3 linked regions of the Daphnia pulex genome follow. The main gene of each other region encodes a partner of the protein of the gene in region 3 in a complex. Links are inferred from orthologs where the notes say so. Each region holds a gene or a part of one and is shown on either strand. Other genes may lie near its edges.

What was found.
Region 1: exosome complex component RRP40-like (region 3) and exosome complex component RRP46-like share a complex: the UniProt entries of both Homo sapiens proteins name them as parts of the RNA exosome core complex. The link is inferred for Daphnia pulex from reciprocal best matches to the Homo sapiens genes EXOSC3 and EXOSC5.
Region 2: exosome complex component RRP40-like (region 3) and exosome complex component RRP4-like share a complex: the UniProt entries of both Homo sapiens proteins name them as parts of the RNA exosome core complex. The link is inferred for Daphnia pulex from reciprocal best matches to the Homo sapiens genes EXOSC3 and EXOSC2.

Annotation. Positions count from the first base shown.
Region 1 is NC_060020.1:3,912,765-3,915,785, forward strand, and holds exosome complex component RRP46-like, read left to right. Parts: upstream 1-1,302; 5' UTR 1,303-1,451; coding exon 1,452-1,539; intron 1,540-1,628; coding exon 1,629-1,742; intron 1,743-1,803; coding exon 1,804-1,925; intron 1,926-1,991; coding exon 1,992-2,132; intron 2,133-2,214; coding exon 2,215-2,406; 3' UTR 2,407-2,440; downstream 2,441-3,021. Other genes in the region: serine/threonine-protein kinase D1-like, read right to left, coding at 261-392. UniProt on the Homo sapiens protein: Non-catalytic component of the RNA exosome complex which has 3'->5' exoribonuclease activity and participates in a multitude of cellular RNA processing and degradation events.
Region 2 is NC_060023.1:8,701,279-8,704,726, reverse strand, and holds exosome complex component RRP4-like, read left to right. Parts: upstream 1-1,485; 5' UTR 1,486-1,599; coding exon 1,600-1,718; intron 1,719-1,778; coding exon 1,779-2,016; intron 2,017-2,076; coding exon 2,077-2,211; intron 2,212-2,269; coding exon 2,270-2,440; intron 2,441-2,505; coding exon 2,506-2,640; intron 2,641-2,702; coding exon 2,703-2,783; 3' UTR 2,784-2,816; downstream 2,817-3,448. Other genes in the region: CDP-diacylglycerol--glycerol-3-phosphate 3-phosphatidyltransferase, mitochondrial-like, read right to left, coding at 14-919, 984-1,247; uncharacterized protein LOC124197887, read right to left, coding at 3,413-3,448. UniProt on the Homo sapiens protein: Non-catalytic component of the RNA exosome complex which has 3'->5' exoribonuclease activity and participates in a multitude of cellular RNA processing and degradation events.
Region 3 is NC_060019.1:5,882,288-5,885,322, reverse strand, and holds the end of exosome complex component RRP40-like, read left to right. Parts: 5' UTR 1-1,466; coding exon 1,467-1,679; intron 1,680-1,748; coding exon 1,749-1,898; intron 1,899-1,956; coding exon 1,957-2,108; intron 2,109-2,170; coding exon 2,171-2,384; 3' UTR 2,385-2,432; downstream 2,433-3,035. Other genes in the region: uncharacterized oxidoreductase ZK1290.5-like, read right to left, coding at 2,468-2,626, 2,692-2,862, 2,937-3,017. UniProt on the Homo sapiens protein: Non-catalytic component of the RNA exosome complex which has 3'->5' exoribonuclease activity and participates in a multitude of cellular RNA processing and degradation events.

The sequences.
Region 1 (3,021 bases), on a different chromosome or scaffold from region 3:
ATCATTTAAAGCAGGATTGTGTCAACAGTTCCCAGTGGAAGTGGATGGGAAAATATGGAGAAAAATTCCGAATACAACAGCTTAGCAACTTAAAAGGCAAAAATATACACGGCAAACACACTTAAGCAACGACAGTGATGACGTAATATAATCAAAACAAAAAAGCTCTCTGGTTACTACAATAAAGGCGTTGTCAGGTGTATAGTGATGCATGGACGTGGAGGTAATTGGATCGGCGTGTAATGTTCAAAAACACTTACCCGTTGATTAATAAAGTTGCAGGCCAAATCTTTGAGCGTTTTCAGCGTTAACTGGGAGGCATCCGTGGAGATAAAGTCTCGTACCAGTCCAACTTGGAACATAAAGGTCACCTGACCATTACCATCATCCATGATGGAGCTTGGATCCAAAATTTTATGAAAAACACAATCACAATTATGGCGAAGTTTGACTTTTGGATGGCAGTGAAATTCGCACACACACAAAACTGGCCCTTTTTCGTTGGAATAGTCTGTGTGGTTGGTGTGTGTGTGTGCAATCAGGTGGGAGCAATGGAGTAAAAAAAAAAAAAAAACGGGTTCCAGCAACCAACAGGTTGATTGGAATGTCACATAGCCTCGGGCTGAGATCACCTTTTCTTTCGTCGTTCTCCCGCCCTGGCACCACTTAGATTTTTCCTTTTCTTTCTTCTTCAAAGAAAAAAGGTTGGGTTTTTACCTCCACTTGATTGCACGACAAAACTGAGCAACACGACTGTTTTAAAACCAACACAGATGGGAGCAGCACAACGCGTGATAACACGTTGGTGATGAAAAAAGTCGGTGCGAATAAGAGGGACTGGCTAATGGAAATGCCCAAACTAAATTCAATTAATACGCAGGTTTCCCAATCATGATGGCACACACAAAAAATTCACGTATAAACATCACACACACACACACACACACTAGCACACTTTACGTTCTCTCGAGAAATGCAGAAACAGACTCACGTACGTGTGTGTGTGTGTTTCTGACCGTGCAGCTCAAGTCACGATAACTTGGTAGTCTGCCGAGCTAATAAATACTGTCGCTACTCGGAGATCCGTCTTTGGCTTGCTCACAATTTTCTGGCCAAAAACAGCGTTGCCATTCTCTCGTGACTGAACGAACGAAATCCATGAAAAATACATATTCATAGCTACATTGGAAAATTGTGAATTTTTCAGGTCTTCTTTATTACAAATATAATAGTTGTTTTAAATTCATGGAGTTAAAAGTTATATTTTGTGTGATTAAGTAAATGGTTGCCATGGTAACTTAGAGACATCTGCAGACTGCTGTTGCCGACCCGTCAACCCCATGTATTTTTTACGATCACGTTGCTTATGCAGAAACAGGGCTGCGTTCTTAATCTGAATTATTGAATACTTTTTCAATCACAAAGAATTGCTTGCAATATTATTATTCGCCATGGAGACTGAAGAGAATAGCATTCGTGCTTTAAAGTGCGAACAAAGCGTACTGTCACGTGCAGATGGCTCGGTGATGTTTTCTCAAGGTAAGTTTAGATTTGTAACTTTTTCCACGCTGTTTTCGTGTTATTTTGTCCAAGTCGGTAAATTTTATTTTATTGACTTGTCATTTCAGGGAATACTGTGGTAATGGCTTCAGTTTATGGACCTTTGGAGGCTAAAATTCAAAAGGAACTGTCCGATAGAATGTACATTGAACTAAACTACAAGCCAAAAACAGGAATGCCAGGTTATTAATAACTTATCCTGTGTATTATTATTTCTGTAATATTGAATGCATTTTTATTTAGGTGTTGCTGAGCGTGGAAAGGAGAAACTCATCAAGACCACTTGTAATCACATTATTTTGACGAACCTGCACCCTCGAACAGCTGTCTGCATAACAGTTCAAGAAATGCAAGATGGTGGAACTGTAAGCACTTACCACAACAAATTTATTTTGATCAAGAATTAGTTGTTCACATTTTCCATAAACTAGTTGCTAGCAGCCTCCATCAATGCTGTGTGCCTTGCACTTCTTGACTCGGGTTTACCCCTGCAGTGTCTTGTAGCTGCAGTGACTTGTTTGGTAGACAAGAAGGATAGAATTGTCCTAGACCCATGCATCAGCACAGTCAAAGTATGATTTCCACTAAGAATTAACTAATTTTTTTCCCCCATTTTTTGTTGTTGTGCCTAACTTACTTTTTTCCCCATTACAGGAAGGTTATAAAGCAATGTTTACCTTTGCTTTTGACAGTCAAAAATACAACTTAATTCTGAGCCACTGTGAAGGCCAAGTTCCCTATCAACTTTTTCAAAAAGCCATGGAGCTGTGTCAGAAAGCCAGTCACGTCATCTTTGATTTCTACCGGCAAGCAGTACTACGAAAGTTTTCCAACGAACTTCTGTAAAACTTTCAAAAAATACACATTTTAAAGTTTTGTATATGCGACTGAAAACAAAGTATAATTGTATAAGTATAGGCTTGCTTATTTCCAGTATCGTTAAATTTCTTCGGAAAACCAATCCATCCTAATATGTCATGCGCATCTAGCAATACTCGAGTAATCACGTTCACCAAAACTATATCTAGAAGGTTTCCTGCCCGGAGCTTGGCTCCAATGCAATGCGGTACAATTTTGACACAAGTTATTTAGGTATAGTAAAAGTGCCGATTGTGAAATCAGAAAAAAAATAAACTTAACTTTGAAACAAACTCTTCTTAGAATGACATATGGTAGGTAGTTCTACCATTTTTAGGATTTATTCGGTCGGAAAATGTAGCATAAAGGAATTTCTTTTATGGTTATTCTGAAAATTTATTTCAAGGTGGTCTGGATATATCGAGTGCGATTTCAGCCTTTACGGTAATAGGCCTTGAAATGTTTTTCTCAATTAGAAAGTTTAGCCAATTAGGCTGTCAAGTCAAAGTCAACACAAATAAAGCAATTCTAAATTTAAGTCATGTATCACCTGATTCCAGTTTCGAGTTATTTTCCGATTGTTCCATTTCAGTAGCAATCGTA
Region 2 (3,448 bases), on a different chromosome or scaffold from region 3:
GATAGGGGCTTACCAGAGGATGTGCCATGAGAATGTGAACATTTGGCTGGGACGCTTCTAGCAAACTATCCATATAGTCCTGAGTCAGGTTGAAGTACCCGGTTGCTAGACATAATTCGGCGTTTGCCGGTACGTTTTCTAGAATCTCGCGCGTCAAGATGTTATCCATGTAAATGTTTAGCTGCCCCATCTGGACGAAAGGGAAGATCCAGGTGTCGTAAGCAGACGGATTCGGCCATTGAAATATCGAGGACGAAACATTTGCTTTTATTTGCTTTTCAAACAAGTTGTTGATTCTCCGTTTTGCTTCTTCTGTAAATTCAAGCCGATTGGATTCAAACGGATGGTGAGGAAAAGCGGAATTCAAGTTAAGGCAGTTGTTTTCACTTAAATGAAATGAAAACTGGCACACAGTTTCTACTAGTTGGTCAAAGAAATCCACTAAATCTTTGCAATCTTCCATAATTATGTATCGATCTTGCCGATTTGTGAAGTAATCGTGGCTTAAATTTGCGCCACTGATTAATAAGGAATCGTCAAATATGTAAATCTTCATATGTTGCAAGCCAATAATTTCATTCCATCTTTCTGGGAGAATTTTCTTTAATAATCCTCTAAGTGCTGGAGTGTGATAAAAATGGACTGAACACTGCTGGCTGTAGGACTGAACTAAGGGAAGCAGCATTGTACGGGAATTGAATTGGGCACCTCTAGAGCCTCTTGTTGCATCCAACAGAATTCGAACTTTCAGGCTGGAGCCAGAGTTTTTCTTCAAAGTACTTTCAATTGTTTTTACAAGCTCATTTTCATGATTTCCTGTTCCAAGATATAAGGATGCAAAAGTGACTCTTTGACTTGCTTGACTAGTCTTTTCAATAAGTGTTTTGTAGAAATCTTCAGGATCAGACAAAACTCGAACCTAAGAAAAAATTTTACAACTATTACTAGAAGACACTAATAAAATACCTTATTAGAACACTAACCTTATTTCCGTTCACAGGGAAACAAGGGGTTTTACTTCCGAGCCATCTGAAATTTTCAAGGGTCGTTAACAGTTCCGTTCTCTGCTGTTCATCACTGTCGGGTTCCATTTCGGGACGATGCTGGAGATGAAGTGATCTCGAGACAAGGTTACGTTGCCAACCTCTGCGAGCAGTCTTGGGAAGGAAGTGCCAAGATACTCGTTGTCGCCCAGCAACGCATATCGTTGTTGAAAAAAGTATTGCTTTTTGGCAAATTAGTGACATTTACTTGTACGGACGAATGAAATGAATCGGCATATAAACAAACAGACATCTGATGGCAAAAATTAATACTAATGTGATTCGCGCAATGTTTTATTTGATTCGTTAAAAAAATTTCAGTTGACTTTATATTTTCCATTTCGAACATAAGTTAATTAGTCGATTTAAATTGCACAATATCATTTTGACAAGAATATCCACAAATATTTATATTCTTAAATATTTTGATATCGCCATAGCTTAGGCAACGTAGCAGCATGGTATAGCAGAACACGATGAATTATTGTCATTTTCAAGTGTGCTGTTGTTTCCTTTTTTTTGAACTTGATACATTAGGATAATTAAAACCAAAAGAATGGTAGACATTCGCCTTGCTTCTGAAGTGCCTCCTTTTCATATCGTCGCTGATTCTACTGAACCCAAACATCTTGTCACACCTGGCTCTTTGATCACAAAGGAAACAGGATTCATGAGGTAGATTGTTAAAAGTTTTGCCATTTTCTTGATGATAATCTTATTTTATGTTTTGCTAAGGGGTCATGGAACATACATGCAAGATGACTGTTTGTACTCCAGTGTTGCTGGAGTTGTGGAGAGAGTCAACCAACTTATTTCAGTTAGACCCTTGAAATCTCGTTATCATGGGGAGATTGGAGATGTCGTAATTGGTAGGGTTACTGAGGTTTCACAGAAACGTTGGAAACTGGACACCAATGCAAGATTAGATTCAGTGCTTCTTCTTCAGTCAGTCAATTTGCCTGGTGGTGAACTCGTAAGAAAGACTTTTTATTTGTGCAATTACACAAATATTTATATCTCATAATGCTTTTAGAGAAGAAGATCAGCAGAAGATGAATTAGCCATGAGGCAATACCTGAAAGAAGGAGATTTGGTCAGTGCAGAGGTTCAAAACATCTTCAATGATGGAGCTCTTTCTTTACACACCCGCAGCATGAAATATGGAAAAGTATAACAATAAGTTATTTAAAATATTAACTGTAATAACAACCATTTATCTGTTATAGCTTTCCCAAGGTTGCCTAATAAAAGTTAGTCCATCTTTGATCCGAAGACAGAAGACTCATTTCCACAACTTGCCTTGCGGAGCAAGTATCATTATGGGTAACAATGGATTTGTTTGGATCTGCCCTACGCTCCTTGACGATGGCGCCGGTGGATTTGTTCAAAACTTGGAGGTGCGTACTAAAAAGTCGATGTTTGTACATTATCACGTGGAAGCTAATTCTGTTGAAACCTATAGACAGTTCCGCATGCCGATCGACAAGCTATAAGCCGGTTAAGGAATTGTGTGACAGCTTTGGCGCACTGCAAGATGATGATCTATGATACCAGCATTATGCATGCCTACGAAGCCTCCGTAAATGCTGGGCTTGAGGTAATTATTTTTACATTGAAACTAAATAATTCAATGCTAACTTATATAATGCTTTTATGTAGATCAAGGATCTTCTCCTACCGGACAAGATAAAAGAAATCGCTTTAATGGTTCGTAAGCAGTTCGAAATGGAAAAAGAATAATTTAATTTTCGAATAAACATGGCTCAGGCTGAACCAGAAGTTGACATTCGATTTCCCAAACATTAATGGTGTGGATCAGTTTATTCATACTGCAGACAAAGTTTTATTCTGGGGCAGGGAAAAACATAAACGAAGAAACATTCGATAATAAAGGCGGTTTTTTTTTGTTTCCAACTACAACCGGTTTCCCAAGAATATTAAAATTTTGTAGACTTCATTTATAAGTCATCCCCCCCACAAATCATATTTACATTAAAACAAGTGTGCTAGAGAAAACCAGGATAAGATCTGCCGTAAGCACCACTCAACAAAATGCCCTGGGCTAGTTTTGAAACACCTAAAAAGATTATATAGGATAATAAATTACTAATGGACCCCGTTCCCTAGGTCCACCAAGGAAGGAAAAAAAAAAGATTTAACCGGAAGTCATGTTAAAGCGCTGCTTTAACAAATCAAGCAAATAATAATTAACAAAAAAAAAAAATAATGATAAATAGAAACAATGAATATCTAGCGAAATTCCGTGACGACGAATGGATAACGATTATGTTTAGGAGGGCTTCACGATTGGAAAATGTCCCGTGTTTTTAGATATTAGGATTCCACCTTGATTAGATGGGTTTGTAATCTTAGACGCTCTTGTCGGGTCCCAACCAGCGGCGCAT
Region 3 (3,035 bases):
ATTTACGCAAGTTGCAAATATGAAGCGGGATATGCTGACTCACACATCAGAAAGCAAAGAACAACTTTATCCCGGTCCTTTTTGTGGTGTTGACTGTTGAGTTAGCATCGAAGAGCGACGTCCGAATCCATGTGGCCAAAGAACACGAGCAAAAGAATAAGAGTCAGCAGCCCAATACCACCGGATCTTCAGTAGCAGAATAAAATCCTGATTGAGAAGCTAACAATGAGTTCATAACTATTTACGCGGAGGAGGAAAAATCTATCAAGACTAAAATTGAAGGCGCAGAAACTACGTTTCTGTGGAAAAACTTTCCCCGTGCACGCTAGCCTTGAAGAGCACGTCAGGACATACACCTTAATGCATCTTTCAAAGATTTCCAGTGCGCAACGTGCGGGAAAACGTTCTGTCAAGCATCCTCTCTCAAGCTCTACCAGCACTTTTATTGGGGAATCAAACTACACACTTTCAACGTTTACCAAGCAAGTTTCCGAAAAATCAACCATCCTCCATTGAGCGGTATAATATGTGTTCTATTGTATACCAATCTTAACTGTGGTGAGTTATAAGTTTTATCGGGATTCCCCCACAAATAGTAATTATAGTTTGTTTAACAGACTTTCGGCTCAGTATTAATTTGGAAATGCTATAATAAATCATTAAGCAATTTAGCAGATAAAATGTAGCCTATCAATACCACTATTAACGGCATTGCTATTTTACATAAAATATTTTGCATCTTTCGATGTGAAATTTAGTTGTTTTCTTTTCCTTGCTTGATGAAAGTGATGCATCATTCTACGAACGGCACAGAGCACATTGTTTTTAAAATAAAGTAATGCCACCAGTGAGTAAGCACTAAGCAGGAGAGTAGGAAATGTCAAGTTCCGGGGATTTTTTTCCGATGAAAATAATATCGTTTCTCCTTTCTCTGGTTTTGTATGAAGGTAAAGATGTAAATGAATTTATTTTACTTTCAAAAACTGTTAACTTTAATTTTACTGATGAGAAAAATGAAGCTTATTATTGAGAATATTTTTATAGTATTTTTGATCTGTGATCAAATGGTCAGATGACCCAGATAACACTAATTAATTACATGTTAATTATGTACGATAATCTCGACTTTTATTAAAATTTCCTGGGAATCTGGGATTGATAGCATTTAACACTGATAATTATAATTAAAAAGCTATAATTTAAAATTCCGTTAATAAATGTTCGGCTGTTAAAAGCGCAAATAAAAACTGTGTATTAAATCAGAGTGAACTGACAAGTTTTTAATAGCATTGTTCAGCAACAAAAATTGCATATTTGATATTTCAAATGTAAAAGAAAAATTTGTCGTGTAATTTTGGATAACCATAAATCGCCCTTTGGTCAACTGCGCCCGCAGCCCGCAACGGGTAATTCATGGTTTTGTTTTTTTCCGCCAGACGGATGTTGTTTATTAAATTTTTAGAAAAATGGCGGAAAAATCGTTTTCAACCCACGTGAATCAGATTTATCTTCCTGGTGATTCGGTTACGCTCTCAAAGACAGATGAAATCTCTACTGTCAAGATTGTACTCGGGCCAGGATTGAGAAAGTATGGAAAACAGATTCTAGTTACCAAACCTGGCGTTTTACGTACAAAAGCCTCGCCGGCCACGTATTGGATAGATTGTCACCACAAACGAGTAATTTTTCACAAACTTTAGACTATTTAATTCATGTAAATCGATTCATTCACATTCTTATTATAATAGTATGTTCCAGCCAGAGGTGATGATGTCATTGGTGTGGTTACCAATAAAGTTGGAGAGTCCTACAAAGTTAACATTGGATCCAGCGAAGAAGCCTCACTCTCAAGCATTGCATTTCCTGGAGCCACCAAAAAGAATAAACCCAACATTCAAGTATTTTGATGACTGCTTTGCATTTGTGACATTGTTCTTATGTGAATTATACACACAGATTGGAGACTTGGTATTTGCCAAGTTGCTCATAGCGAGCATTGACATGGAGCCAGAGCTTGTGTGTGTCAATTCCTTAGGTGAGAATGTCGGTCTTGGTGTCTTGTCTACAAGTGGATTCCTTTTCACTGTGCCCTTACACCACATTCGCAAGTGAGTTTACATGTTTTTAAAATTAATATTATGAAGAATATTTATGACCTTAACATTTCTAGGCTCTTAAATCCAGAGTGCACACTGCTGAAATCACTGGGGAAAGCACTGTCTTTTGAAATTGCTGTTGGGATGAATGGGAAGATATGGCTAAAGGCTAAGTCTGTCAAACAAACAATTGCTCTAGCAAGGGCCATTAGCATTTCTGAACATATGAATAAAGAAGAAATGAACAAACTATGTAGAAAATTTGTAGATCGACAAGCTGGATTCTGATTCTCTCGTGATAAGTGTCAATCAATACAAAAATTTTCCAATTTCAAATGTTGAATAGTAAAAGTTCTATGGAAGAGGGAACTTCACACAGGCACATACTGAAGGTGTGCAGGCAATTTGTATCCGTCAGGTTTGTTGTCGTCAATTTTTCCTTGAAGTTCAGCAGGATCCACAGCCCTCAAACTCATTGGGATGGTATCCAGTTCTGCCATTTCTTCTGGACTCAATTCAAAGTCAAAGACCTATAAGTAACGTTGTCACCGATAATTATTAGCCCTGTGTGAAATTCCACGTAGAGATTTCTCACCTGACAATTTTCTTTAATTCTTTCCTTTTTTATGGACTTTGGTATGGTGACTACTCCGTTTTGAATGGACCACCGGATTAGGACCTGCGCGGGAGATCTGCCAGATGACTGGGCTACTTTTTCCACGGGAGGCTCCTTCAATATCATCCCGTTGGCTAGTGGACAATAGCCCTTGAATAGCAGTATACGGGTTTTACTCTGGCGATCATTGAAATGGACGGATTGGCAGCCATGTGAGTACAAACCTGGAATTCTATGTTATTTTCTCTGCAGAACGCCCTCAGTTCTTTCGGATTCTGATAGGGGTGGAACTCGCACTGATTTACCTATAGAAAGACTTTATC